Regions from separate parts of the Mus musculus genome. Here all the other regions are reported to be linked to region 2. The links are microRNA targets in miRTarBase. Many come from high-throughput screens and were not tested one by one. Region 2 holds a microRNA gene; each other region holds the end of a gene's coding sequence.

Region 1 (4,065 bases), not on the chromosome of region 2:
TGGACTCAGGATGGCTGGGAACTCTGGTCTTTCCTGGCTCAGCTTCCCCTGGGCTGACACCCTCCTTAAGTAACTGTAAACTCCCTTAGACCCTCCTTAAGTAACTGTAAACTATCTTAGACTTGTGATCAGTCATTTTAAAGTATCAGATCCCCTCCCCCAACTTTTATTCTATAGGCTGTGGTTTTAGGACCCAGAGAAAAATCCCCAACTAGATTAAGGCAGTAGATACTGTGTGCAGGAAGCTCACAGGAAGAGCCCACAGCTGGCTTTCCTTGTCTCACCAGGTTCCCAGGGACTCGAAGGTAGGGGTCAGGCTTCATTCAGTGCAGGTAGCATGTGTCCAGTGTCAGGCTCCATTTGTAGATACTGTTGGCAGGTGAGTAGACACACTCCAATTCTCTCCTACATCTCCATGCAGAGTGACCCCGAGTTTGCACAGTGGCTGAAGGAGCTGACCTGCACCTTCAATGAGGCCCAGAGACTGCTGCGCCGTGCCCCCAAATTCCTCAACAAACCACGGGCCGCCATCCTGGAGTTCTCCAAGCCACCACTGTGTCACAGAAATAGCAGCGGCCTCTGAACCACAGAGCAGCGGGGCCTGAAGGAGGGGCCCCAGCTCTTCAGCCCAGGAGTGGAACGAAGCCACGGGGAACCGTGTGGGGCTAAGACACAGTGTTTCTGAGCACTGACGGGGCTGCTCCAAGCCGAGGAGGCTCAGGACACCAGGGCGGCCTTCTGGGAGCTGGGACATCCTCGGGGCTGTCCTATCCACACTCGAAATTACTGAAGAAGCAGAGGCATTCTGCTGTGCAACTCTCTCACTTTGGTATCCAGGGACCCAGAACGTAAAATGGTCCTTACTTCTCAAGCTTTTATGTCTGGCAGGGAGCATATCTGGGGTGGAAGCACGGTCTCTGGGACTATGGTGGCCTGTTCTAGGCATTGCTGTGTCCGAGTGCCTGCCTGAGGTGTAGGGGTTGAGGCTCCAGACACTGGAGGAGGGTCTCTGTAGGTCAGGGCTGACTCCTTGCTGTCCCTGAGGCGATGAGGTAACCCTGAGTATCGTGTGCACTTCCTTCCTCTGATGACTTCTTTCCAGGGATGCCCCTCGAGGAAACTTCGCGGCATCCATCACAGCCATTTCTGGTGGGCACAGACTTCAAGCAGGACCTAGGTAACCCACCAGACAGTGCCCCCAATGCATGGCGTGCATAAACTTGGAGTCACCATCAATGGTTAGGTATGACAGAGTCCTCCTGATCCCCCAGTTTGACCTGGGGAGCATCTGAGGATGTGCCCAAGATAGACAAGAGTTGCTGCCTTGTCTTTCAGTATAGCTTATAATGATCTCACACTGGTGGGTGACAGTGTCCAGCGGTCGGTCCCCTATGCGCCCTGGCATGCCCCATACCCTCTGTCACTAATGCACTGTGCGCTGAGTTATTCTGATGGGGGCAGCAGTTTGCCCAGCCCCCTTCCCCTTAAAAGTGGGTTTCTCTGCTGCTGCCTGGCCCCATGTCACACAATGAGAAGTCCTGCAAGGTCTCGGTGGACTTGTCCAATTCCTGAGGCCTTGGGGGCGGGGGCAGTATGGTAGTGTTACTGGGTCTCTAGATGAAGTCCCGAGCACATAACCTGACAGCAGAATTCTTTGTGTTCTGTCCTGGATCTTCCTGACAGTCCCCAGTGTGTATTATGTTCTTGTGCTGGGGAAAATGAGGTGTTTATTTATTGATATCTATGGGGTTTTTTTTTTAATTGCAACTACCTTTTGAGAATTTGGAAGATAATTTACTGAGAGGGTCCATTACTCGGCAGGTGCATGAGGGACCTGTGAGACTCAGGGCCTGTCTCACCGCACATGAATTCTGGGTTCATGATCACGCACAGGGCCGCTGTTCACTGCCTCCAGGGTGGGAATGTGGCGTCACCTGGCAGGGACACCCTGCTTGCTTAAAAGACTAATATTCAGATTCTTCTACTTCTACTACTACTACTACTACTACTACTACTACTACTACTACTACTACTACTACACACACACACACTTAAGCGTTGTGGTTACTGTGTAGGCATGGTTAGTATGGACAGCTCACACATGCTCAGTCAGACCTGCAGGGAGGGGTAGGAGCTGTATCTCTGGTCTCTTTAGCACATATAGAGACCTCCCCCCACCCCTTCCACATTGGGAGGGAACTTGACCCCAGCAGGTGCTGGGCTAGCTGTAACAGTCTCTTATCGGGGTTATAGCTATACCAAAGTCTTTCAAGATGGCACAGGATCATGGGATCCTGCACCTGCACTAAATCACGCCAGACTGGCACAAATATCATGTGTTATTATTGGCCAAGTTAATTTTAAGGCCCCTTTCCTTTTAGAAAAAGAAGTGTGTGTGGGTGTGTGTATGGTGGGGTCTCCTGCCCTCAACCCCATTTCCCTCGGGGACAGGAATGAGAGAGAGTGCAGATGGCCTCTGGCATAGTCCTAAAGATTCATATATGGGCTGGTGGTGGATCTGCTAGCGCCATCTCAAAGGCCATCTTTCCACCCTGGCATGTGGCTAGGGTGTGTCCTGGATCCATAGGGTGGGAGGAGGAGCCAGATGGGTTTATGATACATGGCTGTTTGAGAGTTCCCATCATGCAGGCAAGTCCCTAGATGCCTCTTGTACTCAGACTGTTAACAGGGCGAGTCATGAGTACTAGTGACCTGGGTTTCTGGCCTGGATCACTTATCATGATGGAGGATGTTCCACTTATTGCTGTTTTTACACAGCTATACTCTACATAGGCGTGGTTTCATAAGGCAAGAATCAATGCACAAAGTCCAAGAATATCAGATAATTTTAGAGCCACTATGTGACACACACCAAATTAAAACCTTTGGCAAGCCCCAGTTTGTTTATTATTTATTTTAATCTAAACTACCCTCTTGTCCTTAGGGCTCCCTGCTTTTCCTCTGGGTCATAATTAAATGTGTGGGTTTTTTGTTTTTGTTTTTGTTTTTTGTTTTTGTTTTTAAACAAAGCCTGTGGAAATTGTCACACTGTAGTGGTTGACAGAGGAACCTGTCTTGCTACTGATACTCAAGTGTGCACATTGAAAGGCCCATTGGCTGACATTACAAACTGTCCATGTAAAACCAGCAATGAAGGATGGATGGTGACCTACAGGGGAAAGACACTGCAGGTTCACAAGCCCAGCCTTGATTGGCAGAGGCAGGAGGCTTATGAGTTTGAGGCTAGCCTGGCCTACATGGCAAGTCTCTGCCTCCAGAACACCAAGGGCTATGGCAGTAGCTCTGGGCCAAGGTCTTGCCTTACATCTCCAAGATTCTGGGTTTAATTCCCAGAGGGTGTGGACAGCGGGCAGCAGACTGTTAGCCAACTAATAAGATTTATCTCTAGTGGCCGCCTTGACCTTGGCTATGTGTCTGTGAGAAGCAGCTGTTCTGAGGCCCCACTAGCCAGGATTGTTCACCAGTGGTCAGTGTGACAGAGAGGCAGAGCAACTCGGTACAGGAACTCACCGTTTCAGTGGTAGGGTAAGGACAGAGGGAGAAGGCTTGGTTGGCTGATGGAAGCCACACACTTGGCATGATGACCCACCAAGGAGGGAATGAGGGGAGCTCAAGGGACACGCCCTCAGAATCCCCCAAGGATTTTTGCAAGACTTGCTTCGTTCCTGAGGCCGAGTTGCCCCGTCATGAAGGTGCCGCCACGTGTTCTTCTATGGACATTCCCAGGAAGGTCCCTCATCAGTGGTACATCCCCGGACACTGAGTCTGTCACCTGAGACTGTGGCTGTGTCGCCCAGGCAGTGTGAGGCTGTGACCTAGTCACTGTCCATGAATGGGCTGTGGAGGGGTGCGTGTCCAACTTAGATGTGGTGAACCTCAGAATGGCATCACCGCCTTCCTACATGTTTGATTCCACTTCTACTTGGAACTTCCATAATTTAAATTTAAAAAAAAAAATCGTTTCTCTTCCTAAGTGAGGTTTACTCGAAAGTCTCAATTGCTCACATTCATGTTAATAGGACCTCTTGCTTTAACTTCATTGGT
Region 2 (4,065 bases):
AGACCCAAGATGACACTAACAAATAGTAGATTCCCAGCAGAGGGAGCACAGTTAGCTAAAGCACGCATCGTTAACATAATGACTGGCTACATAGCACACACTATTCAGCTGCCATCCTTTCTCCATACCATAAAGGCATAGCTCGACCACATCAGAAAGCAAAAGCCACACAAGGCAGACAGCAACAGCTGAAAACCTGAGGAATTATTTGCCTGTCAGAAAGAATGTTATGTTTGGGAATCTGTGTGGAATTCTTTCTCTGGCTTCAAGATCACAGATCTGCAAGTGTGAGAGGCAAGTAAAACAAAAAAACGAGTTCTAGACCACCGAAGCGACAGCCTTTCATTTGGGTGACCAACAGTGAATCTCTTGAGCATCAGGACAAATTCTAAACAATGAAAATCCCCCCACGCAACCCCCCAAAAAACAATAACAACAACTTAGCATTTTAGAAGCAAAAGGTCTCATTCGTGTGGATTTTCATTAAAGAGTAAAAGAAAAGATCTAAAGCCACAGGAAACTGGAAAGACAAATCAATGGGGGAAATAAGCTCCTGGTGGTCAGGGTGAAGGTGCGTCCCAGCAACGCTGACTGAGCTTTTGCAAAGACAATGTTTGTGTGCTCTGCGTCCTAGTGGCCAGATGTCTTAGCCAATGGTGATGGGAACTGACTAGACCAATCCAGCAGGGCCAATCCAGAGGAGAGACTTGGCAGGAGACTTTGTGTTTTAAGGTGGCTCCTCCAGTGTGAATTTAGGGAAAATATTCAAAGGATCTGTGGCCACTCTCAGATGTTTGCTTTAAAGGGGGCACTTGTGGGGCTAGCAGGATGGCTCAGAATTAAAAGCACACACTGTTCCTACAGAAGACACTAATCTGGTTCCTAGCACCAGTATGATAGCTCAGCCCATCTGTAAATCTAGATAGACTGAGACTGACTCCCACCCACAGTCACCTAGCACACAAATGATGCACAGACATGTATGCAGGTAAAACAGCCATACACATGAAATAAAAATAAATACATCACATTAAAGGGAAAAAAGGGAGAGGAGAGAGAGAGAGAGAGAGGAGGGATGGTTGTCTCAAAAGAATTAAGACCATACTTAAACCACCCTTTACCTGTTTCCTAAGCTTATTCTGTCTTTCATTCTTTTCTGTTAATTGTATCGGGTGAGGGGCTAATGAGAGCTAGCTGTTACTAGCTGAGTGTGCTCTGCTGTCGTTTGGATGGGGTTTTCCCCATTGCAGCTCTGAGCAGAGCACCTGGTAGGCTCCTCGTCATATTTGCCCTAGCCAAGCAAGCCAGGAGCTCAAGGAAACACCTCTTAAGTGTTTCCCAGTTTGGAGGTTGCACACACATCCCATGTTTGGCTGCTATTATAGGCCAGAAGTTCCTAACACAGTTTGACTAAAATACATCCACTCTTTTCATTTGATGTAGATCTAACCTAACTTGTGCAAAAAATACTTATGCAAAGATACACAGTGATGGCAAATGAAATGCTTCTGTTGTTGTAGTTCTTCTTGTGCTCCTGCAGTACCAAATCTCGGCCACGAGCCACTTGTGAAATTCTGCCTTCTTCATTTCTAACCCTGTGAATAATGTCATTCATCCTGGAATGGAGTGATGGGTTACGGAAGGACAGATCAGCGTGACCTCTCTAGTGACTACAAGCCACTACAATTGTCCTCAGAGATGCCCGAGGTCCTCTGAGTCTCTGGAGCCCTTTTTATATATTAATACAATGACATCAAATGCTATTTTCGCTCTTGCCCCACAGTTGTACAGTGGAGTTTCCCAGAGGCTGCATGCCACAAGATGATGTCATCACTGCGGCTAATGGACATTGTGTTATGCATTAGTAATATTGTGCTTTAAAAAGTCCTTATTGTATTTAATGAAATCACATTTATTGGCACTATAATAAATGCTGGTAGACAATCCATCCAAACATACGGTTCTTGCACTCTTCAGTAGTATTAAGAATATAAAGCACACCTATAAGGCAGCTCAGAGGGTAAGGGTGCTTGCTGCCAAGCCTGACAACCTGAGATCAGTCTCTGGGCACTACTGGGTAAAGGAGAAAATTGACTCCTACGAGTTGTCCTATTATCTCCAGAGATGAGATATGGCATGCATGGGTACGTATGTGTGTGTGTGCACATATACTACACACACATACACACACACACACACACACACACACACACACTAAAGAGAAGGTAATAAGAATATAAAGGAGATTTTTAAAACTGTTTCAGGAGTAGAGGGGTCTTCCTAAGGTAGACTTTAGATAAATATGGTAGTGACTGCCTGTAATCTCAACACCCAGGATGTTAAGACAGGAGGACTGAGTTCAAGACCAGGCTAGACTAGAGACCCCTGTTTCAAGCATGGGAAGGAGTTAAAAATAAAGAATTTCACTAAATTCCTTCAGTTTTCTGCATGAAAATTTCTCAGCTCTTTTTTTTTTGCTCCACCCCACTGTTAAGCACTCTCTTGTGATATATACATTTAATACTTCAATAAAGTTTTATTTGCACCTATTGCAAACCCCACCTTACCCCCCAGATAGTAGTAAAGTCTACTAGTAGTATACCCATGTGGACTCAGCTGAGTAGAATCCAGATGCCACATTCTTCAGAAGGGTTTTCACAGCCCAGAGCAAAAAGTATCCAATTGTCTATTTTCTTCAAGGAATATACCGAGGCTTTCTGAAGCATTTATACTACCTAGTCACTTCGGATCCTACTCTGTTTCTCCAAATATGAATTTCATGTCAGCTTAAACCTAACATGGCTCTCAAACGCCAGTTTTCACCCACTACTTCCACTCATTAACATACTTGTGGTGAGCACCTAATAAAAAGAGAAATGGCAAACTCTAGTCACAAATATAAAACACAAAGCAAACTCGAGAAAAGTTTTTGTATATTTTTACAACTCGGGGAATTTTTCCTCACCCAAATCTAATTACCGGGAGCCTAGGAAGGAAAGTTCACATCATAATGTATGATGAGAAGCGTTTCCTCTAATTATACAAACATGATACAAATAGTTCTGTGCAAAGTGCTTCACTGGATAAATATTAGCATGCCATTATCATCGTTCACTGACTAATCTGGGCACTGGCACTTCTCTGCAGACTTCGTAAAAAACAAGGGAAGAGGAAACGAGGTCATGAGTGAGTCCTGCTGCACACAGGAGCACCCTATGTATCTCCATCTCAACTCTCTAATCAGATGAGAAGCATGCATGCTGCCCATGGCTTCTCGATGAAGATACTGATGCTCAGAAGAGGTCGGTACTTTGTTCAAGACTGAAAGAGAAAACTGAAGCTGGAGCCCATCCCATGCCTGTCTCTGTCTACTCTGGTGCCCGCTTTCCAGCAATCTTTTTTCTTAAGAACCCTCACCCGAGGAAGCATGTTCCAATACCAGTTGACCCAGAAATCAGAGTTGTGAAGGCTTCTTCTGGCGCTGTTTTGCAGCACTTGTGTGTTTTCAACAGGCATTCTTAGTGGACCAACAGAACAAACGATACTGCAGTTAGCAGTTGGCAGAGCACTGTGACAAATGATACACTCTTAAAAGAAATTAGAGAGCAGAATCTACAGTTAACATTGCTTTGTCTCGAGACCAGCTCCCCTGTACACCATTCTGATATGCAAAAGCCAAGCTGTGTATAATGTCCCTTGTATGTATATTTCCAGGGCTGTCCATTTGGTATTGGATAAGCAATTTCTCCTGTTCTCCGCATTTTGTAGGTCTTTGTGTAGGATGGAGGGCTTTCCACTGCCTACTTCAGCATGTCTAGTGTTGCCCTTGTTCAGCTCATGTTTAGATGTTATGGATATAGTTTCTAACTGAATAGGTTGTATTTATGTTTTTAGAGATATACCTACCTACCTACATACATACATACATTCCTAATATGTGTGTATGTGTGTAACAATAAATAATGATAAAAGAGGCGATGAGTTTGAAAGAGCACAAGGCATTGTGGGAGGGTTTGGAGGGAGGAAGGGGATAATGATGTAATTATATTATAATCTCAAAAAGAG
Region 3 (4,065 bases), not on the chromosome of region 2:
AGAGGCAGAAGGCAAGCAGCTGGAGCAATGGTTTTCCCAGAACTGTTTTCCAGCTTTGTCTCCAACTTCCCACTCACAAACTGACTCTAGGAAATAACATCAAGTCCCATGTTGAACCTGGGGTGCTGTATCTGGAACCCCACTTGTGAAGTGCTAGCTTTCTAGCGACAGTGGGCCTGGGGCAGCCTCGCAGTCCCTAGAACACCATGACTTGTTCATTCCGCCCTCCTTGGTCCAGTTTTTTAGCCTGACTGCAGAGGTTAGAGCATGGATGCCTTTCGCTCCTGTTGGAGGGACGGTTGCTTTGGGGGCAGGAGCTTTCCCCTTCTCTGAAACCGCCTGCGTACCTGTCCACGTGTCCACAGCTTCTCAGAGAGTTATCAGGATGCCTGCCTGAGAGATTGGAGCCTTTGGGGGAGTGTGTCAGTCTTGGCTACTTTTCTATTGCTGTGACAGTTTGGTCACCAGGACCAAGGCAACTTAGAAAGCCTTTAATTAGGGGGGTTATGGTTCCAAGAGGTTGTAGAGTCCATGACCATTACTGTAGGGAGCATGGCAGCAGGCAGGTAGGCAGGACACTAGAATAGTGGCTGAGAGCTTACATGCTGAAATAACCACAGGGCAAGGAGAGAGCTAACTGAAACTTCAGAGCCTGACCTCAGTGACATGCCTCCTCTCACAAGGCTCCACCTGCTAATTCTTCCCAAACAGTTCCACCAACTGGGGACCAGGCATTCAAACATCTGAGTCTATGGTGGCCATTGTCATTCAGTGTCCCAGGTCCTGATGGAGGAGGAACATGAATGATGTAGAGGTCAGCCCAGGATCCTGTAGCTGCCTTTGCTACTCTGTGGGTTCTTTCTTCCATCCTTCCCCAGCCTTTTCTCCCACCCTTTCAACCCTCTAACAGTAGATGGAGAAAAAGAGGGAAGAGAGGAAAGGAAAGAGATCCCTGACTAGGGGCCCCAAGAGACTTCATCAGTCAGGATAGCACATTTCTTTTCCTTAATGTTTGTTCTTTGCGCAAGACTACTTAACCACCGTGCCTCTCGGGGCCCAGAATATATACTATATATTCTCTAAAAAGGCCCCAGAATTCCAAGTGTGACACAGTTGCAGAAACCATCTGCAGCTGGCACAACCACGCCCCTGCTAGAGACAAGCTGCATAGTCAGCTGTGGACAGCCCCATGCCACACGGGGGTTAAAGTGAAAGCATAGTCAGATTTCTGTGCTTTTTAAAAAGAAACCAAGGTTCTCACTACAAGATCCTAGCTTAAAAGAAGCCTCATTCCCCACTAGAAAGTTTCAGCATTTCACATCCAAGACCATACTCTGTAGGTCATATTAGAAAAACCTTTATTGGTTGCCTCCTGTTTCCAGAGGAGGCTTGAAGCTGAGTACCTCTGCACAGGAACAGGAAAGAGAGATGTCACAGATGTGGATTTATCAGGCAGTGTGTGTCACAGCTTCCTTTACCCTTCTTTCACACTTGAGTGACCTGGAGGCCAGACCCACATGGTCCAGTGCTTCTGGGCTCTGGATTCAGATCTGACCCAGCCACAGGGCAGGGAGTAGCACAGTTTGTAGCCTTGCCCTGTCTTGGGCCTGGTGGAGGATCCTGGAGCCTCTTGGTGGTGCATTGTCCTTTCTGATCTGGTTATCCCTGTACTGTTCCTGCAGCCTTTCCCAGAGGTTCCACATACAATGCCTGTGGAAGTTCCCAGAGCACTCCTTTGCAGCTGCTGGTTCCAGGAGCTTCTTCCTAGAGTACTTGCTTACAGATCTGTGGGAAGCTTGAGTCTCATGCTGTGTTTGCTAATGATGTTAGGCCTTTCCCCTGCATTTTCCTCTGTCTACCTCTCCTGCTGTCAGCCCCTCCTGCACCTGCAGCCCAGAGCTGGCAACTTTCCTTCCTTGCCCAAGCTTCTGATGGTTACATACTGTGTCTGGCCAGCGCCATCCAGTGGACTTTGGTCTAACAGTGTCGGTGTTTATGCTCTGTCATCCAGTACAGTAGCCGTCAGTCAGATGTGGCTGTTGATTTAAAATGTGCCTAAGTGGGCTGGGGAGATGGCTCAGCAATTAAGAACACATACTGCTCTTCTAGAGGCCCTGAGTTCAATTCCTAGCACCCACATCAGGTGGCTCACAACTGCCTGTAACTCTAGCTCCAGGGGCATCCAACACCTTTGCCCTCTGCATGTACCTGTATATACTTGTTTGTGTGCACACACACACACAATTAAGAATAATTTTTGAAAACATCTTTAAAATGTGGCTAGAGGGCTGGCATGTGGCTCATTTAGGTAGAGTACTTGCTTAGCATACATGAAACCCTGGATTTGATCCCCAGTGTCTCATAAAAAAAAACCTGGGTTTGATCACACACACACATGAGTAATCCCAGGCTCCGGAGGTGGAGGTGGGAGGATAAGAAGTTCAAGGCCACCCTCACTACATATGAGACCTCATCTCAAAAACAAACAAATAAAAATTTGCTAGGATGAAAAATAACTGAAATTTTCTTTGTGTTTGTGTCTGGATGGTGTGTCTGTGTGTCTGTGAGTCTGTGTGTGTGTGTGTGTGTGTGTGTGTGTGTGTGTGTCTGTGTGTGTGAAGTGGAGGTCACAGGTTGATTTCAGATGTCTTTCTCAATTGTTCTCGGTGTTTTATTTTCTGAGGCAGGCTCTCTTGCTGGGCCTGGACTGTGCCGATTTGGCAACCTAACCAGGCAGCTGCCCCTGGGATCCCTAGCTTCTCCAACCTGAGCACCAGCATTCCAGATGGGCTAGCATCCCTGCCTGCCTTTTATACTCGGGTACTGGAGGTCTAATCTCAGGCCCTCCTGCTTGCATAGCAAGCACTGTATCCACTGAGCCATTCCTCAGCCTCTGGAGCTGACTTCTCAGTTTGCTTTTCCTTCATTAAACAGTCCTGCGCCGTAAGTGGTGACTTGTCTAGTCCTGCCTCTCTGACCTCCCCACTTCCCTTTCATCTCAGTTAGACTATGTCTTCCTAGACTGGCCTGTGACTTTCTGTTTCTGTGACGTGGTCTTTAGAGGCTGCTCTGCCCAGGCTGAGTCCTATTTCCTGGCTCGCCCCTGTGCCTGCCTGTCTCTCCACTGACCTCTGACTGGTTCCGTGGTTGCAGGTTGGAGTTTCCTTTTCCTGGTCTCTCCAGCTTCCTTCAGGACTCCTGCCAGAAAGTGACTCCCATACATTCCCAGCTGGCTTTTGCCCCTTCACTTTGGGCGACTTGAAGGATTGGTCAGCAGCCAGAGGGCAGGGAGAACTGTGGCTTCTGGTCCCCACCTGTTCTTTAGTCCACATTGTACCTTCCTCGCCTGGGTCCACAGGCGCCATTCCTCCAGTCACCCCAGTTCTCGCTACTCTCACCAGGTCAGAAGTGGGGCTCGCTTGGGAATTGCTCCTTTAGAATCTGCAGAACTTCTTCCAGAAGTGAAAGCCCCAGGTCCACTTTGAAGGAGAGGAAAGGGTCACTGAGGTCCGGAGTAGGTGTCCTCGGGAAGTGGGGAGTGTCCGAAAGGGCCTCCTCTGAGCACTGGTGAAGCGGCCCTGTCAGGGAGATTGCTGAAGGCAGGGTGGCCGAGTAGCCAGCTGTGTAGCTTGCTGGGGGCTCCAGAATGTTGGGGCAGCTGGAGCTCTCTCGGTAGAGGCGTGGGGGCTTGGGTGGGGCCAGTAGGGTGGCTCGGGGATGCTCATCCCCCCACAAGGGCAGACGCCGGCCGTCTGGCCTCCCTTGCAGTTCTCGGATGACTTCCCGGTTGCTGTACTCCTCATGGTCACCACCAGCAGTGCTGGCCTGGCTAAGTATGCTGCCCTGTCGATGCAGTCTCCGTGGCCGCCCCAGGGTGATTCGCTTGAAAAAGGAGGCATTGCGGAAGGAGCCTTTCCGCCAGGTCTCCATGGAGCTCCTGAGAGTCATCTAGTGGGTCTGGCATCTGAGAAGCCCCACAAAGGGGCTCAGCAGCAGCAGGTGACCTTTTTGCTAGGGTGCTGAATGCCAGACACCAGAGGGACACCCTTCAAGGGCCAACAGCAG
Region 4 (4,065 bases), not on the chromosome of region 2:
CCTCCATGACCAGCAGAGCAGGACCCTGGGATGTTTATAAGAGACAGCGCGCAGGATGGGAGCTTAACCCAGCCCTCCTTTACTCCCTGATGTCCTCTCCCCCTCCCGATCCTCCATCCCACAGGCCATTTACAAGATGGTTTCGTCCGTGATGAAAATGCCCGAGGATGAGTCGACCCCGGAAAAGAGGACTGAGAAAATCTTCCGCCAAATGGACACAAACAATGACGGTGAGTGGCGGGGGGGGGGGGGGGGGAGATTGGGGGGGAGTGATAGGGGTGGAGGAGGGTGGGCAGCCTTCCTCCTTCCCTCTCCTGAGCCACCTGCCTGGCTTCGCAGCCACCTTCTCCTCATTTACAGCCCTCCCTTTGCCCTGCAGGCAAGCTGTCGCTGGAGGAGTTCATCCGCGGAGCCAAAAGCGACCCATCCATCGTGCGCCTGCTGCAGTGTGATCCCAGCAGCGCCTCCCAGTTCTGAGCTGAGAGGAGCCAGCTCGCCTCCCTGCCTTCACCGGCCCTCCGGCTCTCAGCTTCCTCTCCCTCGTGTCTATCCAGGCTGGGGGCCAGACTGGGGATCCCTTTCTGGGGTCTGCACTGTGTGTGTGTGTGGGCCTCTGGAGAAGTGAAACCTGCAAGGAAGGGGCTAAGCAAGACAGCTGTTAGTCTCCACGGCCCAAGAGGCAGAATCTCCCTTAGTGGGACCGAGATAGCCCTCCGGTCAGGTTCTGTATTCTTTAGTGAGACAGCTGGATCATCTTACACCCACCCACAGTCAGGAGGATCTTCCACAACACGGGGGCAGGGGGGCGGGTAGGTCCCCTTTGGGTGGTCCTCAGCCTGGAGGGAGGTGGGGAGTCATGCCAAGGTGAAGAGTCTTTTTGTTTGGTGGGGAGCCACGGATGATTTCTGGGCTGTGGGGCTTTGAAGAAGTTCCCTGATCTACTTCCCTGCAGAAGAACACTTCTTGTCCCAGCTCTTGCTGGCTGGAGGCCATGGTAAAACAAAACAAAACTCCCAGGATTCCAACTGGGGGTCCCCAAACTCAACCTGCCTCTTTGCACTTAGATAACCACAGATTTACCCCGTCTGTACTCTGTATTTCACCTCTCTCTCTCGTGCACTCACGCAAACACACACACACACACACACACACACACACACACACACACACACACAGAGGCCCACAGACAGATGGGCAGAGCCCCTCCACAGCATTCTGTGTGGGAAGGAAGCGCAGGCCCCCGGCCAAGCCCCATGTCCCTCTGCATGCAGCCACACGGAGCATCTTGGTTCTTTTTAATAACTTCAAAATAAAGTCTTGTTTCAGTGCATTGTACTCGGTGGCCAGGGGAGGGCGCTCAAAGCCCTCTCCCACGTCCCCAGTAGTCCATTGACTTTTCATGGGCGTGCTCTAGGAATCCTGGATCCCACTAAACTTCCATGGCTGGTTGGGCACGGGTCAATACAGGTGTGGTCACGTGCCTCAGTAGCCATGGCGCTGCTGAAGTGTCAGAGGGTCAGCTGCAAGAACTGGCGCAGCTCAATAGGTCATGAGCATCCAGGGGCTCTGGGCTTGCTTGTATCTGCAGACACAGGAACTTGGTTGTTTCCCTCTGCCTGGGGTCTCTATCTTCAGGACACCCTCAAATTGGAAGAAGGAAGGGCTTCTGGGGCACAGGGGAGGACAGCACTATCAGTCATTCATGACAGGCCAGAACCCACTCCTCCCCCAACTGTCTCCTGTATAATCCCCAAAGACCAGTGCTTCTCCTCAAGATTAGGAGAGCCAGACATCAGCTGTGTGACTTAGCTGGCACATCCGGCCTCTCTGGACTTTGGAGCCCTTTGGTAGTGCTGAGAAAACTTTTGCTCCAGTTATGTGAGGCCCTGTTCAGAAGGGGTGAGGCTGACCATCCAGGGGCCTCCCAGGACTATGGGGGGTGGGGGTGGTGACTTACCGTGTGGTGGCAGCTCTTCCCCCACCAGGGCCTTAGTTCCAGTAGTCCATGCATGAGCTGGGCGCAGCGCACGGCAGACATACTCTCCGCCAGACAGAATATGAGAGAGATGGCCCAGAGGCACAGGCTAGAGCTCTGAGGGGTCCAGGGGCAAAAGCATCTAATTAGGGAAAGGGGTACAGGTAGACCCAAGAGTCCTTCCCAACCCTTTCCAGGACGAGGCACTCACATAAATTCGAGTAGGGTCAAAAGGACAGTCAGGTGCCAGTGTTGGGAGTTCAGGGTTCTCAAAAGTACAGGCCGCCAATAGTGCTCTACCCTTGGTGGCGAAGGTCACTGCAATGGAGGCCAGGAGTCCAAGGGCACAGGTCAGAGAGAGAAGAGCACAGGCCACACTCAAGCTAAACACGGTCCAGCGCTAGGCAGAAAGAGCACTGGTCAGTGGATATCACTCTTGGCCCCAAGAGGGCTGCTGGCCCAGCCCACAGTCCCATCAGAGGAAATGCCACATACCAAGGGGGTGCTGGGGAGGTAGCGTGACAAGACGATGGTCGAAATTCCTGCAACAATGACCTGTGGGGAGGCTGGAATCAGCTGGGATCAGCCGGTGCTGGAGGGCAGCTCGTGGGGTCACATCCCCCCAACGTCTTCCACGGTTCTGCAGTCTCCACTCCCACCCTGGCCTCTGGCTTTGGCCTCATAAACTCCCACTCCCTACGGCCTTCCAGGGCTCCGCACTGCCTAAAGCTGTTGAGTCCGACAGGGTCCTGTGTGTCCTAAGTTTTCGGGCATAAGCCCGGGAGTGTGCTAGGCCCCAGGACCCACAGCATATCTCCTTAGGATGGAAAAGACTGGAAGAAATGCATTCTACTAACAAGGTACTAAAACCAAAATGATATAAATCAGAAACCAGGCATGGTGGCAAATGCCTACACTCCCAGCACTGAGGCAGGTGGATTGCTGCAAGTTTAAAGCCAGCCTGGTTTACATAAAAGGTTCTTTTCCAGCCAGGACTATGTAGTGAGGCCCCATCTTAGACAGACAGGACACATCATAAGCAGAATTCAGAATCTTTAAGAGGTGGCCAAGGATGGGGCTTGGGAGTAGAATAGTTGCCTGGCATGTGTGAAGCCGGGGTTCAATCCTAAGTACCACAAAAAACAAAGAGACCTCTAAGAGCATCAAATTATCCCAGGCTCTTAACGACCTAATCCTGGCCTTCTCTGGTCTGTCCTGGACCACTGTCTTCCCTCATTTCACTGGACCTCATGCACACTCGCAGATTATCCTTTCCAAGGCGCCCTGCTCCTCAGTCCTAATGCCCCTACATCCCCAGAGACAGGATTTCCTGCACACTATTCAGCTCAGTGGCTGACCTCTAGATCCCTAGGGCTCCATTTAGCCTATCCGCCTTCCTAGTGTCGATCTCTGTAGTGGACACAGTACCACTGGGGGTATAGTGGTAGTGTTAATTTACTCTGCAGCCACAAGAAATTACCTCAACTTCTCAGGGCTGAGCCCCTCTCTGTAGGATGCGCTCACAGGAAGATAACCACATCCAAGGGAGTGGAGTGATTCCCCCAGTCATGGGCAGCTGGGAGTGTTTTACTGGGGAAAGGTGAAGTGTTCCAGCCCCAGAGCCCTCTGACCCTGGGCTGGCCACCTTCCATGCCCTCCTCAAATGGCTGTTGAGCAAAACAGATACTGATTGGCACATAGCCCTGCATTCTTCCTGCCGTTGGAACTTCCACAGATCAGAGCCTGGTTCACCAGGCCTGGAGGCCACCAGGCTGTCAGAGGCAGAGACCAGCTCAGAGAGAGAAAAGTCCCTCTGTCAGGAGTCAGCAGGTCTCCCAGAGATGAACAAGTCTACAACCACCTTAGCTGACCGGCAGAGAAGAGCTTTTGTACACCTAAGTACACCAGACTCTTTCATTTATTCATTCATCAAACAAAGATGTCCCAGTATCACAATGACTACGGCTTATATCAAGTGGCTCATGTAGTCTGCCCTAGTGCTAAACTCCTGTCTGACTGTTTGAGTCAGTGTCTTCAGCACAGATCTCAGCCGTTCCCAGCTCCACACATCTGCACCTGCCACACAGCCT
Region 5 (4,058 bases), not on the chromosome of region 2:
CAGCCAAAGACCTTGGTAGGAACCAGGTAGCCCACCCAGGGCAGGGCAGCGCTTTATGTCCCAGCATCGTCTCATCAGGGTGGCTTGCCTGAGCTATGACCCTTTGGAGAGGAACACAGCAACGTCTCACACTCCTGTATTGCGGGATGGGGGCGTTGACAGGGAGAAGGGCAGCAGGTTGGAGAGGTAGGGAGAGGGTGGGGCTGTGGTGCGACTGGAAGTTCAGCCAGGGTCTTCTGAATCGTCCATTTTGTCTCTGTAGCTCTTGGAGATGTGGGAGCAGTGATGCCTTCCCTGTTTACTAGATGTTTACCTTCATGAATATTCACCTGGGATCTCTCCTTCTCCTTCAGAGTTGCTGGAACTGTGGCCGGAAAGCAAGTGAGACGTGCAGCGGCTGTAACACGGCCCGATACTGTGGCTCTTTTTGCCAGCATAAAGACTGGGAGAAGCATCACCACATCTGTGGACAGACCCTGCAGGCCCCACAGCAGGGAGACACGCCCGCTGTCAGCTCCTCAGTCACACCCAGCAGTGGGGCTGGGAGCCCAATGGACACACCACCAGCAGCCACTCCGAGGTCTACCACCCCGGGAACCCCCTCTACCATAGAGACGACGCCTCGCTAGACCTAAACTCAGACTGTCAGAGGAAAGACACCACAACCAACACGAAAGCAATTCCTCATCCTCAGATGCTCAAAGTCCCTTTTCTGTTTGTTTGTTTATAGATGAACTATCTATCTTATTTCAGTACTTCGGCAAGAGAGAACCTAACTGTATCTTTGAGGCGATAGTAGAACACAGAGGCCAGTAACGGGTCGTAATGACTTACTGTGGATAACAAAGATATCTTTTCTTTAGAGAACTGAAAAGAGAGGAAAGAATATAACGTGAAATGCTAGATTTGACCTCCTCCCTGTTATTTCCAAGTAGCTGGGATTTTAAACTAGATGACCTCATTAACCAGTGCTTTACCAAACAGCAAACCAAGAGATTGCTAATTGCTGTTGAAAGCAAAAATGCTAATATTAAAAGTCACAGTGTTCTTTATATACAATAATGGAAAAAAAAAAAAGAGGCAATTCCTCAAGGGCATGAGCGGTGGATACAGAAGTAGACATTTTAACAAGAAGATGAATGGCGTCTGTGGGTTGCTAACTGAACTTTGAAGACCCGCTGCAAAACGCGCAGATGTGCAGCAGATTGGAAGGAGACACAGATGGTCCTTTTTTTCCTGTTTCTGAAAAAGAAATAATAATATCCAGGTCAACAGAATGAAAAATGAAAGATGATTTCCAGTGCGGTGTATGACTACAGCAGCAAGAAAAAAAAATGCCATAATACAAAGGCTCCTTTTTATATATATAGTCACACACACACACACACACACACACACACACACACACACACACTTAAGAGACTCAGCCTGCAGTTAATTAGCATTCTGGCAGCTTCCAAGTCAGCCAGCTGCCCTAAATAACCCTTCAACATTTCTTCACTTTTGCAAGGTTCCACAGACTAAGACATTGGGTCTATTCCAGCTCATTCATTTTATATTGAAAACTAATTTAAAAAAAAATGGTGGCTTCAGCTCCAGCCCCTTTCCAAAATTTTTCAACCCCACCCTGTTTGGATTTTTAATTAAAATCTAGTAGTTCTCTTGGTATTAAAACACTTCTGTCCTGTGAGGTTTTCCCAATGGTGTTTTTCTTGTAAATGTGTTGGACAAATGTGAAGATGCGTTGTAGTTTACCCATATGCCCACATTTAGTCTCTTTATTCCTAGTTGGTGAGAAACCTGTATCTTTCTATGCTGCTTTTATATCTGTATGTATTAGTGATATTTCTCTAGTAGTTAAAAAAAAAAAAAAAGAAAAAAAAAACTTTTTTGGTTGTCCTCAAGAAAAGAAAAGAAGAAAAGAAAAGAAAAGAAAAAGCTATCTTTTGGAGCTGCTAACTCACTCTCTTATAGGATTTTTTTTCCTGGAAACCAGCATGCTTCATGGAATGCTAGCACATGGATGTTTTAAGAGGGATGTACATAAATGTATTTTGCACTGTCACAATGACTCCCTAGGCATGCTTTCTTTTTTTCAAACCAACTTTTTAAATATGCTAGAGCCATTTCACCAATTTTAGCTGTAGCATAGAGTAGTAGTGGAATTTTTCTTTCTTTTATCCTTTTTTTATGAAAAGAAATTATTAGGGACTTTTTTAAAAAAAATAAAATAAGATATCCTACTTTAAAAAAAAAAAGGACAGTGCATGCATATTGCTGTAAGGTTGTTTAAGTATTTCTAATTTTACAAAAAAAAAATGAAAAAAATCATTAGAGCTCCAAATGCTGAGGTGTAGACGAACAGCTTTAACCCTGCTGAGTGCCAGGTAATACAGTGTTCTTACAAAAGGGAAATCAGCCAAAGACTGATCTGAGGGACCAAAATCGGAACTTTGAAAAGCACCAGTGGTACTTTCCAAATGATCAGCAGGTTGAACATGTTCAGTGTGAATCCATTAACCCTTCGTTGTCCAGGGTCCAGACCAGAACTACTGGTTAGTTTTGAAACACATTAGCCCAGGATGTGGTTGTGTGCTTTAAGAGTCGGCAGTGCTGCAGGCTGTGTAGACAACCAAAGTTGACAAGGCTGGGAAGACACTTCTCCACATACCCATACACCAGGCATTTCTTTACAAATTGAGTACAATCCATTAGCTTGCGGGAGGGGGAGGGGAGCGGGTAATGTAGCCCTTGGATACAGTTTTAAGTGGTTGTATTTAAGTTATCTGCATAGAGGCAATCCTCCTGGGTTTGCTTTATGTCTCGAAAATCTAAGATTTTTCTTAAACCATTTCCCCCATATTTTCATATACCAGTCGGTTTTGATTTTGTTCCGGTGGTGTTGTGTTCTTTCTTTCTTTTTTTTTTTTTTTTTTTTTTCTTTTTTCTTTTCAATGGCCTTTTAATTTAGGAAGTTCTGATGAGCAAATAAATGCATCTATATCTATCTGCATGTTGGAAGTCCATCTGCCAGCACACCTGCTAAAGGCAACGAGAAGCACATAAGCAGGCTCTGAATGGGTTCTATCTTACCATGGTGCTCCCAGAATCCTTTGACCTCATTCTGCTTTCTAGTCTGCTTGTGACACTGGACAGTCCTTTCTTAGAGCTATTCTATGTTCTAGGCTACGAAGGGTTAAATAATCCCAAAAATGAGGTATGTCATACCCTCACGTCTCGATCTCAAGAAGCTGTGATGTACGTGGAACAGCACTGTTATTCTGAACACTAGTGTGTAAAGTAAGGATTAGTACAGTCCGTCTCATTACTTTTTAATTCAGGGCACCCTGAGTGAAAACCAATACAAAAAAAAAAAAAATCCCTAACTCTGAGCTCTATCTCTAATTCCTCTTCCTCCTTCCCCTCTTCCTCCTCCTCTTCCTCTCCTCCTGTTTTGCTACATTCTCCTCAGTGGCAAAAAGTTTCACTCTACCTCTGACAGCATGTATATTGCACCAGTAGCTAACAAAAACTGGTCTAGTCAAACCAAATGGGCACAAAAGAACCAGGATACCAAAAGTCATACAGCTGCAAACCATATCACTTCTTGGTAACAATGCAGACCTCATAAACCTAAAAAAGAGAAAGAAAAGAAAACTTTTGTTACTTTCCTTTTTTGCTTGTCACTTATATACAGGCTATGTGAGAGTATTGATTTGTAGGTATTACACATTAAAAAAAAAGTTATCTTCATTGGATAGAATTGAATGGTGGTCGCTGATAGGAATAGGGCGTCCTCTATCTCTTATCTCTGTCTCTTTTCTCTTTCTCTTTCTCTGTCATGAGACTGTGTGTGACAGGGCCACCTGTCTTTTTTATTTTTATTTTTCTGAACTTTTTTTTTTTTAATGTGTAGGTGCATGTCTTGGGGATTTAAAAATTTCAAGGCTGGTTTACTTATGCAAAGCATGCCTATGTCTGGAATACTTAGGGAAAGAAAGCGACTCCATGTTGTCCGAATTCCTCAAGGGACAGAAAAAAAAAAATTGGAGACTGTT
Region 6 (4,061 bases), not on the chromosome of region 2:
TTCTGTGGGCTTTTGAGCAGCATCAGGGTTGAGAGGTCCTAGGGGATCCAGAGGAGACTGAGGGACGTCTGTATAGCCCAAGTCCCCATGGCTTTGCTACTCCCTCCCCCAAGCCCAGTCAGGTCCGGTGAGGTTGGAGAACATCATGAGGAGCCCGGCAGAGGTCAGCCTGGGATTCAGAACCTGCCACAGCAATGCCTAGTTCTGCCCCGTGCTGCCTGTGTGATGGTGCTCAGCTGTGAGGCTGTGACTCAGAGGGAGGAGCTACCCTGTGCTTGGCACCTGTAACCAGCCTCTGTTTGTCTGCAGGTCATCGAGGACTGGAAATTCGTCGCAATGGTCGTCGACCGCCTGTTCCTGTGGGTGTTCGTGATTGTGTGTATTCTGGGCACCATGGGGCTCTTCCTGCCACCCCTCTTCCAGATCCACGCACCCTCCAAGGGCCTCTAGGCTACCCAGCGTGTTATGGGGCCCTGGGTTGTAGTGGGATGATATGAGCAGCCTAGTGGGCAGTTTACTGCTTCATCTGGGTTGTAGCTAATGAGACCCTAAGTAAAGCTAAGACTATTGGCAGTCAGCCTATCAATCTAGCCACGAGAAGGACAGAGATAGGTGGCTTGCACTGATCGCTCTGAATATCTTCGAGTAAGTCCCTTGAAGGAGGGGGATTAGGTGGCTGAAGTCCATTCTGGCCTCCTTCCTTCCATGTGCCAGGCACTGGAGTCAGACAGCTGTGTATCATCCCATCACACCCCAGCCCACCTTCCCATCCATCTCCCTCCAATCCAGGCTACCCACTAGATTCCCTGGCCGTCTTTCATTTCCTCTCACACTTCCAGATTCTTCCAGGTTAGAACCTTCAAATCTGCTGTAGCTACCGCCCAAACCTCAGACTCTCAATTCCCAAGCTTTTTACATGTCTGCACTAGGCAGAGATCTACTCCCATGATCCTCTGTTCCAATATGTCACTTCCTGTACAAGCCTTCCCTAGCCATGCATTCCAAAGCAGCGTCTCCCATAACCACATTAAACCTCCAGCTTTCTTGAGTGTCCTCCATTGGCAGCTGCAGTCCTTAGTTGGTGGCACACTAGTCACCAGCACCTTGCCCATTAAAGTCTATGCTCAACAAGGGTCGGAGTGTGTGAATTCACATTCACACTCCAGAGCCTGGGACAGAGCTCTGCACACAGAAGGTGCAAAATAAATGTTTGTTGAATGAATGGCTCCTGCTCTCCTTCAAACACACACACACACACACACACACACACACACACACACACACACCCTCTGAGTAGCTGTCCTTGCTCCCTTCCTGCTTTCTGCCTTTACACCATGGTTGGTTCAGGCCTGTCTCTTTCTCACACTGATCTGTTTCTCTCACGGTGCCTGCCCCACTGTTGGCACTCAAGATACTTCTGGAATTAAGGAGTGTTAGTGGCTTTTTTAAAAAAATAAATGTTGAGCCAGGTGTGGTGGTTCACGCCTTTAGTCCCAGCACTTGGGAGGCAGAGGTAGGCGGATCTCTGAGTTCGAGGCCAGCCTGGTCTACAGAGTGAGTTCCAGGACAGCCAGGGCTACACAGAGAAACCCTGTCTCATAAAAACAAACAAACAAACAAAACAATACAAAAAAAATGTTGCTGTTTTCCTTTTACCCAGCTAGCTCCCAAATAATTTTGACTGGACTATTGTATTTATTTAAGAAGCTTTAAAGGCACAACAACGAGCAGCATTATCTATTTTAATCCTCTAAACTGATCTGGCTACCTCCCAGTCAAAACCCCAGTGATACTTGCATTTTAGTACTGATCTGGCTCTCTGGGCTCCAGGTGTTTTCTTATGGCATCTCCTGGACTCTCTACCCAAAGAGAATCCCCACTCTCCTCCTGCCCCCTTCCCTGGATGGGAGGAAGTCCAGACCTAGTCTCTCCCCTGCTTAGCCATTGACCAATCAGGGAATAATTGGGGAGCAATGTTTACATAACATTGAGACTGGAAATTCTCAGAATAAGAATTACAATCAAATGTGGGGGCACAGAAATCAGCGTTTGAATAATATAAAGGTAATCTTTACACAGGGTATTATTTCATGCCTACAAGGGGAAGATTTTAAAAATTTATTATTTTATGTGTATGGATGTTTTGCCTTCATGTATGTGTGTGTACCACGTACATGCTAGTACCCCCCCCCCCAGAGGCCAGGAAAGGGCACTAGATCCCCTGGAACTGGAGTTACAGACTTGAGCCACCACGTATGTGGTGGGAATCAAACCTGAGTCTTCTGGAAGAACAGCCAATGCTCTTCTTGACTGCTGAGTCTCCAGCCCCTGAGGGAGAATATTTTAAAGTGTTTTGTTTTTAGAATTAACCTACAATAAAGTTGACTTCTTTAAAGTTTAACATTTGTATAACCATCATTGACACTAGGACAAAAGAAAGATGTCACTCAAACTTGGCTACTCTGCATAGACCCAACCCCTGCACACTTAGCCCTGGCCACCCTTACCTTTTCTTCACTGCTGTAGCTCAGTATCTTCAAGCCTGCTGCTTAAACGGAATCCTTCAGGGTGTAACCATTAGATACTGTAGATACTGGCTTCTTTATGCTGGGTCTTTTTTTTTTAAAGATTTATTTATTATATGTAAGTACATTGTAGCTGTCTTCAGACACTCCAGAAGATGGAGTCAGATCTCGTTACAGATGGTTGTGAGCCACTGTGTGGTTGCTGGGATTTGAACTCCGGACCTTTGGAAGAGCAGTCGGGTGCTCTTACCCACTGAGCCATCTCACCAGCCCATATGCTGGGTCTTTAAAAACAACTTCATTGGGTCAGCAAGATGACTCAGTGAGCGAAGGCACTTGCCTCTCAAGCCTGGAGGCCCGAATCTCATCCCTAGAATCCTTATAAAGACTCTAAGAGAGAATCAACTTCACAAAGCTGTCCTAGGGCTTCTATGTGTGTGCATGTACACATACTTCCTCTCAGGCTTCCATGTGTGTGCACGCCCCCCCCCACACACAATAAACAAAACTCTTTTTAAAATGATCACTTTTATTGAAGTATAAATTCACTCATTGTGCACTGGACAATACCATGAATTTTAGTATGTTCATCACCATGATCCAGCTTAGTACTGCTCCATCACCCTTACAAGGTCCCCAAGAACCATCAAGGAAGCCTTCATGGGCTAAGCCATCCCTGGTGGATGGCCAGAGAGGTCAAGAGACCCCAGAACACCTACCTTGTCACCGTCGATTCCTGGGACACATGGGTTTGCAGCTGGCAGTGAGACCAAGGGAAATCTATAACCGCCACAAAAGGAAATCTATGACGGTCACTATGGGAAGCCAGATCCTCTAGTTATTCCAACTTTACTTATAAAAGTATTTATTTACTCTGCTGGGAATCGCAGCCTGGACCTTAGGTGTGCTAGACAAGCACTCTACTGCTGAGCTATAACCATCAGCATTTGTCTGTTTTCTCAAGGAGCATCTCTAGCATAGTCTAAAGAAAGTAGCGAAAATAATATAAAACCTCCCAGATATCATCACCCTTGCGTCCACCATGGGGAACTCCTTGCCAATATTGTTTCCATCCCAAGCCATCGAGTCCCTCTTAACTGTATGCTGTGTACACACACACACACACACACACACACACACACACAGCATCGTGCTGAAAATAGTTACTTTAAGAGCATAAACTTCCACGGTCCACTTTTGAGTTACACTAGAGCTGGCACATGTGATAGGCCCCCAGCCCTCCTCAGAGCTGTACCTGCCAGAAAGCCAGGGCCAGAAATTTGACCCTTTCTTCCTGCCATGGTGACAATGCCTGATCCCGACTGGTCTGTAGCCTAGAGGTTTCAAGAGTCCAGGGAGGCTCTGGGCGAGGCATCGAGGCATCGACGCAGAAGACCGTGGCCCGACGCCCCTCCCACGACGGACGCAGCTCCTGCCTTGGCCTCCCAGCCTCCCCGCCCTGCGGCTGCTAGCAGCGCTTGCCTGCCTGGGGTTCGTGCACTCGGGCGCGCAAGTGCGCGGGAGCTCGGCGGCGCG
Region 7 (4,065 bases), not on the chromosome of region 2:
GGATCCACACGGGAGAAAAACCTTATCTATGTAAGGAGTGTGGCAAAGCCTTCAGCCAGAAGTCAAATCTCATTGCTCATGAAAAAATTCACTCTGGAGAGAAACCCTACGAGTGTAATGAGTGTGGGAAAGCCTTCAGCCAGAAGCAAAACTTCATCACCCATCAGAAAGTTCATACGGGAGAGAAACCTTACGATTGTAATAAATGTGGGAAAGCCTTTTCCCAGATCGCTTCCCTCACGCTTCATCTGCGAAGTCACACGGGAGAAAAGCCTTACGAGTGTGAGAAGTGTGGGAAGGCCTTCTCCCAGTGCTCACTACTCAACTTACACATGAGAAGCCACACAGGGGAGAAGCCGTACGTGTGTAACGAGTGCGGAAAAGCCTTCTCTCAAAGAACGTCCCTCATCGTGCATATGAGAGGCCATACCGGCGAGAAGCCCTATGAATGTAACAAGTGTGGGAAAGCTTTCTCCCAGAGTTCCTCCCTCACTATCCACATCCGGGGTCACACGGGCGAGAAGCCCTTCGACTGCAGCAACTGTGGGAAAGCCTTCTCTCAGATCTCTTCTCTTACGCTTCACATGAGGAAACACACAGGCGAGAAGCCCTATGTCTGTATTGAGTGTGGAAAAGCTTTCAGCCAAAAGTCACACCTTGTCAGACACCAGAGAATCCACACTCACTAGAGACGCCGTGACCACGGTGAATGTGAGGACTGCCTCCCATTGAAGTGAACACCTCATAGCACGCGACACAATCAGTTCTGGCGCTGACTGTAGGAGAGCCTTGGGAAGGTCCCATGCATCTGTTAGACAATTCCCACTTCGGGGACCAATTGTATGAGAAACTGTCACCAAACACCCAGTGATATCAGTATTCTCTTTCAAGTCTGAAAGAAAATATCTACTGTCAATCAACGAACTCGAGCTCCTTGCTGATGTATTAAGCAAGAGAAGGAGATTGGAAAAACCAAAAACAATAACTTTTATAGGCAATATGAGACTATGGGGAAGTAGGTTTTGAATGATAATGTATGTGTCGGGAAGAAAGTCTAAGGTAATTAGGTGACATGCGTACGAAGTTACAAAACGTGCTGACGAATGCAAAAGACCACTTGATAAAGCAAGTTAGAAAGTTATAAAAGTTCACGAACCCTTCCCAGTCTCTCCCTTGTCCATACTTCCACTCAAAATTTACACATCAGTTATAAAGGATTTCATGAACTGATTTCAGAGTAATACGGCAAGGGAAAGGACCACAAATAGCAAAAACAAAAAATACAGCAAAAAACAAAACAACAACAAAAAACAGTTTTTAACAAAACAACTAGGGAAGATGTTCACTCTCTACTAGATTATAATTATTTAAAGTTTTTCTTATTTAAACTCTTTTGAGTGAATAAACTTTTGGAAACAAATTGAAACCCAAGACTTGGCAATTTTCTATCTGCCTGGTGCTACTGAAATCATTGGAATAAGTCTAGCCTGTTCAATATGTGTACAGGTTATGTGACCAAACTTGTTACTTCTTAAACAAAGATATACAGATTCCCTCAGGCTGGTGAGACGGCCCCACTGATAGGGGTTTGCTGCCAAGCTTCACAGCTGACTACGATACCCAGAATCCACATGGTGGGTGGAAAGAACCAACTTCTACACTTGTCCTCTGACCTCCAATGGCACGCCATGGTATGCATGTACACACACACACACACACACACACACACACACACACACTCAAAATAGGAAAGGTAAAATTCTAAAATGCTGGAAATAAAGTGAAACATGTTGCTTTAGCGTAAGAATATTAAAAAAAATAATAAACCCTGCAAACATGGAATAGTCTATTTTCTTTTAGTGTACTGGACTCAGAAGTATCCATGTATGTCTGCAAAGATCTATCTATAAATGTTCCCAGATTTGTGGCTTGGTTTGCTCTAAGTGATATGTAACATTATCATTAATGCAGAGGTGGATCAATATGTTTATTTCTATGATAGGACACTATTCTTTATTTAAAAGATACAAAATTCACATGTAGTTACATGGCTGGATCATGATATTTTGAGAGGAAACCCCAAAATATTCAATTAACCATGGTATAATATTTGTAAGTTAATAAAACAGTTCAAAGAACAGTAGTGGATATTGCTCGTGGTCCATTTATGATATTAGTCGCCTTTGAAGCTTTAGGAAGCTTTTCTAGAAGTTGTTACATTGACCTGTAATACTTCAGTAAGAGAATAAAAGCAGATATTACAGTGCTAACCAGTCTGCTCATCAAATTAGATCTGACGCTTTAAAGGTCCTGTATTTAGTTGCCTGTTTTTACTAGAGTAAGTCAAATATGGGTGTCGAAATCATGGGCTATTAGAATCCATTTTTAGCACGTGTTATTTTATATTTAATCCTCTTTACACAAGCCTGATTTTAAGATGTTTTGTTTTTACTCAGTTATGGTTGGATCTGGGATGTTTCCCCCAAAGAAGGTCCCCAAAACAACAATGTTCAGAACTGATCTGGTCACGAGGGTTCTGACCTCGTCAAAGCTGAATCTACTTACGGATTCCTAGCGGATACCAAAAGGTGGGAGCTGGGGGAGGGGATGCCCACGCAGGCCACCCGAGCGTGCCTTCAAAGTAAGAAGTTTCTTCCTCACTTCAGTTGATTTTTTTTTTTTTTTTGTAGACATTCTTGTCATAGTACCAGAAAGCTGTCTGTCTCACTCGTCAGAACCTTTATCGGGATAATGCCAACCAACAGCATAAACCATTTGAGGCTAGTTCAAAAAAAAAAAATTGAAGCATTTATCTTCAACATAGCTCCTTTCCCAGTTGAAAGTAGTAGAAAAACAAAAGGCAATACTTGTTGGAATAATTGACTCTCAATTTAAAATGTAAGGTCCCGTTGCGTTTGGGCTGCAGTCGAAGAGAAAGAAGAAAAGGAACTGTGCACACGGTCTCTCAAGCCAGGGGCCAGCGTGAGCACCAGAGCGCTGGTGGATCTCAGCAGAGCTTTTTGAGTGTCTAGCTCGATTCCTTGTTTTCTTTTTAAATTATTGTGTGTGGGGGTGGTGGGGGTGGTGATGGTTTTGTGGATTGTGTTGAAACACCTCTGTAGACCAGGCTGGGCTCAGACTCATGGCCTCTAACCTTCTGAGTGCTGGGTTTGCAGGCATGTGCTGCCATAATACCAGTTTCTGGATTTTTAAACAGAAAGGCGTGTCTTGGCGATTTCTGTGCCAGGTGAAGGCCAGGTACAGGTAAAAAGCTCGCTTCTAGCTGTTGGCATGAGTTTTGCATGGGTCCTATAGGAAGAAGGCTGGGTATTCAAACCTGCACTGTAATTCAGGCACTGCAGGATTAAGACTCTGGCTTCGGTTTTCATATACTTCAGCTCTGCAGCTATTCGTTTTTCAAAGCAGACACAGAAATGCCCGTGACATCAGCACTGTGCTGAGCCAGCAACCTGAAGCCCTGAGGTCATGCTTTCTTCCCTGCTTTGTCCAGCACTTTATCAGTCTTTCTCACGATATTCTACTCACAGGCTTGAGTAAAACGGGCTAAGATGTTAGATACATGGTTACCCAGAATCTTGCCTTAGAACAAGTCAGAACAGCCTTAATTAGGAATTCCAATGGTGCTACTTGCATGTCCTCTGACACATCATTCCATGGGCTCCCCATGTCCTCTGTGTCACTGGAAATGGTCATAGTGCCTTTAAAGTACACCACACCAGAGACTTAAGAAAGCTTTCAAATGCTGTTCTCCTGGCCATTCTTTTTTTTTTTTTTTTTAAAGATTTATTTATTATTATATCTAAATACACTATAGCTGTCTCTTCAGACACACCAGAAGAGGGCGTCAGATCTTATTAAAGATGGTTGTGAGCCACCATGTGGTTGCTGAGATTTGAACTCATGACCTTTGGAAGAGCAGTCAGTGCTCTTACCCGCTGAGTCATCTCTCTAGCCCCTCTCTAGGCCATTCTTGTTCCCAGAGTATCAGTCAGGATTCTCCAATAGGACACTCATCCATATATGTATGCTACATGTAACTTAGAT

The links. The annotated mature microRNA mmu-miR-466i-5p reads UGUGUGUGUGUGUGUGUGUG and lies in region 2 at 2,191-2,210, opposite strand. An mRNA with a match to its seed (bases 2 to 7 or 8) in the 3' UTR can be bound and repressed. Matches are read on the target gene's strand: a 7mer-m8 pairs with bases 2 to 8, a 7mer-A1 pairs with bases 2 to 7 and ends in A, and an 8mer does both.
Region 1: the mRNA of Grk3 is a reported target of mmu-miR-466i-5p. Seed matches in the 3' UTR shown: 7mer-A1 at 2,038-2,044, 8mer at 2,039-2,046, 8mer at 2,041-2,048, 8mer at 2,043-2,050, 7mer-m8 at 2,045-2,051, 7mer-A1 at 2,865-2,871 and 2 more.
Region 3: the mRNA of Gm14137 is a reported target of mmu-miR-466i-5p. Seed matches in the 3' UTR shown: 8mer at 2,611-2,618, 8mer at 2,609-2,616, 7mer-A1 at 2,601-2,607, 8mer at 2,599-2,606, 8mer at 2,597-2,604, 8mer at 2,595-2,602 and 15 more.
Region 4: the mRNA of Hpca is a reported target of mmu-miR-466i-5p. Seed matches in the 3' UTR shown: 7mer-A1 at 1,129-1,135, 8mer at 1,130-1,137, 8mer at 1,132-1,139, 8mer at 1,134-1,141, 8mer at 1,136-1,143, 8mer at 1,138-1,145 and 15 more.
Region 5: miRTarBase lists Runx1t1 as a target of mmu-miR-466i-5p. Seed matches in the 3' UTR shown: 8mer at 1,372-1,379, 8mer at 1,374-1,381, 8mer at 1,376-1,383, 8mer at 1,378-1,385, 8mer at 1,380-1,387, 8mer at 1,382-1,389 and 13 more.
Region 6: miRTarBase lists Chrnb4 as a target of mmu-miR-466i-5p. Seed matches in the 3' UTR shown: 7mer-A1 at 1,243-1,249, 8mer at 1,244-1,251, 8mer at 1,246-1,253, 8mer at 1,248-1,255, 8mer at 1,250-1,257, 8mer at 1,252-1,259 and 14 more.
Region 7: miRTarBase lists Zfp74 as a target of mmu-miR-466i-5p. Seed matches in the 3' UTR shown: 7mer-A1 at 1,702-1,708, 8mer at 1,703-1,710, 8mer at 1,705-1,712, 8mer at 1,707-1,714, 8mer at 1,709-1,716, 8mer at 1,711-1,718 and 11 more.

What each region holds. Positions count from the first base shown.
Region 1 is chr5:112,911,431-112,915,495 of GRCm38, reverse strand. It overlaps Grk3 (G protein-coupled receptor kinase 3), which reads left to right. Exons shown (of 21, transcript NM_177078.4): 21 at 422-4,065. The coding sequence ends at 583. Among named protein-coding and RNA genes, the nearest start is that of Myo18b, 17 kb to the right of the region's middle.
Region 2 is chr3:28,418,089-28,422,153 of GRCm38, reverse strand. It overlaps Mir466q (microRNA 466q), which reads right to left and starts at 2,211; the gene lies at 2,136-2,211. All of the region lies in intron 2 of Tnik (TRAF2 and NCK interacting kinase), which reads right to left.
Region 3 is chr2:119,174,845-119,178,909 of GRCm38, reverse strand. Gm14137 (predicted gene 14137) reads right to left here. Exons shown (of 1, transcript NM_001039223.4): 1 at 1,342-4,065. The coding sequence starts at 3,930. The coding sequence ends at 3,403. All of the region lies in intron 10 of Dnajc17 (DnaJ heat shock protein family (Hsp40) member C17), which reads left to right. Among named protein-coding and RNA genes, the nearest start is that of Gm14137, 2.4 kb to the right of the region's middle.
Region 4 is chr4:129,108,840-129,112,904 of GRCm38, reverse strand. Hpca (hippocalcin) reads left to right here. Exons shown (of 4, transcript NM_010471.4): 3 at 125-230; 4 at 380-1,335. The coding sequence ends at 477. Tmem54 (transmembrane protein 54) reads right to left here. Exons shown (of 6, transcript NM_025452.4): 3 at 2,471-2,530; 4 at 2,187-2,375; 5 at 1,958-2,092; 6 at 1,279-1,582. The coding sequence ends at 1,517. Among named protein-coding and RNA genes, the nearest start is that of Tmem54, 5.3 kb to the right of the region's middle.
Region 5 is chr4:13,889,259-13,893,316 of GRCm38, forward strand. Runx1t1 (RUNX1 translocation partner 1) reads left to right here. Exons shown (of 11, transcript NM_009822.3): 11 at 354-4,058. The coding sequence ends at 629. Among named protein-coding and RNA genes, the nearest start is that of Gm11823, 100 kb to the right of the region's middle.
Region 6 is chr9:55,026,494-55,030,554 of GRCm38, reverse strand. Chrnb4 (cholinergic receptor, nicotinic, beta polypeptide 4) reads left to right here. Exons shown (of 6, transcript NM_148944.4): 6 at 310-2,399. The coding sequence ends at 450. It overlaps Chrna3 (cholinergic receptor, nicotinic, alpha polypeptide 3), which reads left to right and starts at 3,993. Exons shown (of 6, transcript NM_145129.3): 1 at 3,993-4,061.
Region 7 is chr7:29,930,866-29,934,930 of GRCm38, reverse strand. It overlaps Zfp74 (zinc finger protein 74), which reads left to right. Exons shown (of 6, transcript NM_178384.4): 6 at 1-2,140. The coding sequence ends at 689. Among named protein-coding and RNA genes, the nearest start is that of C230062I16Rik, 19 kb to the left of the region's middle.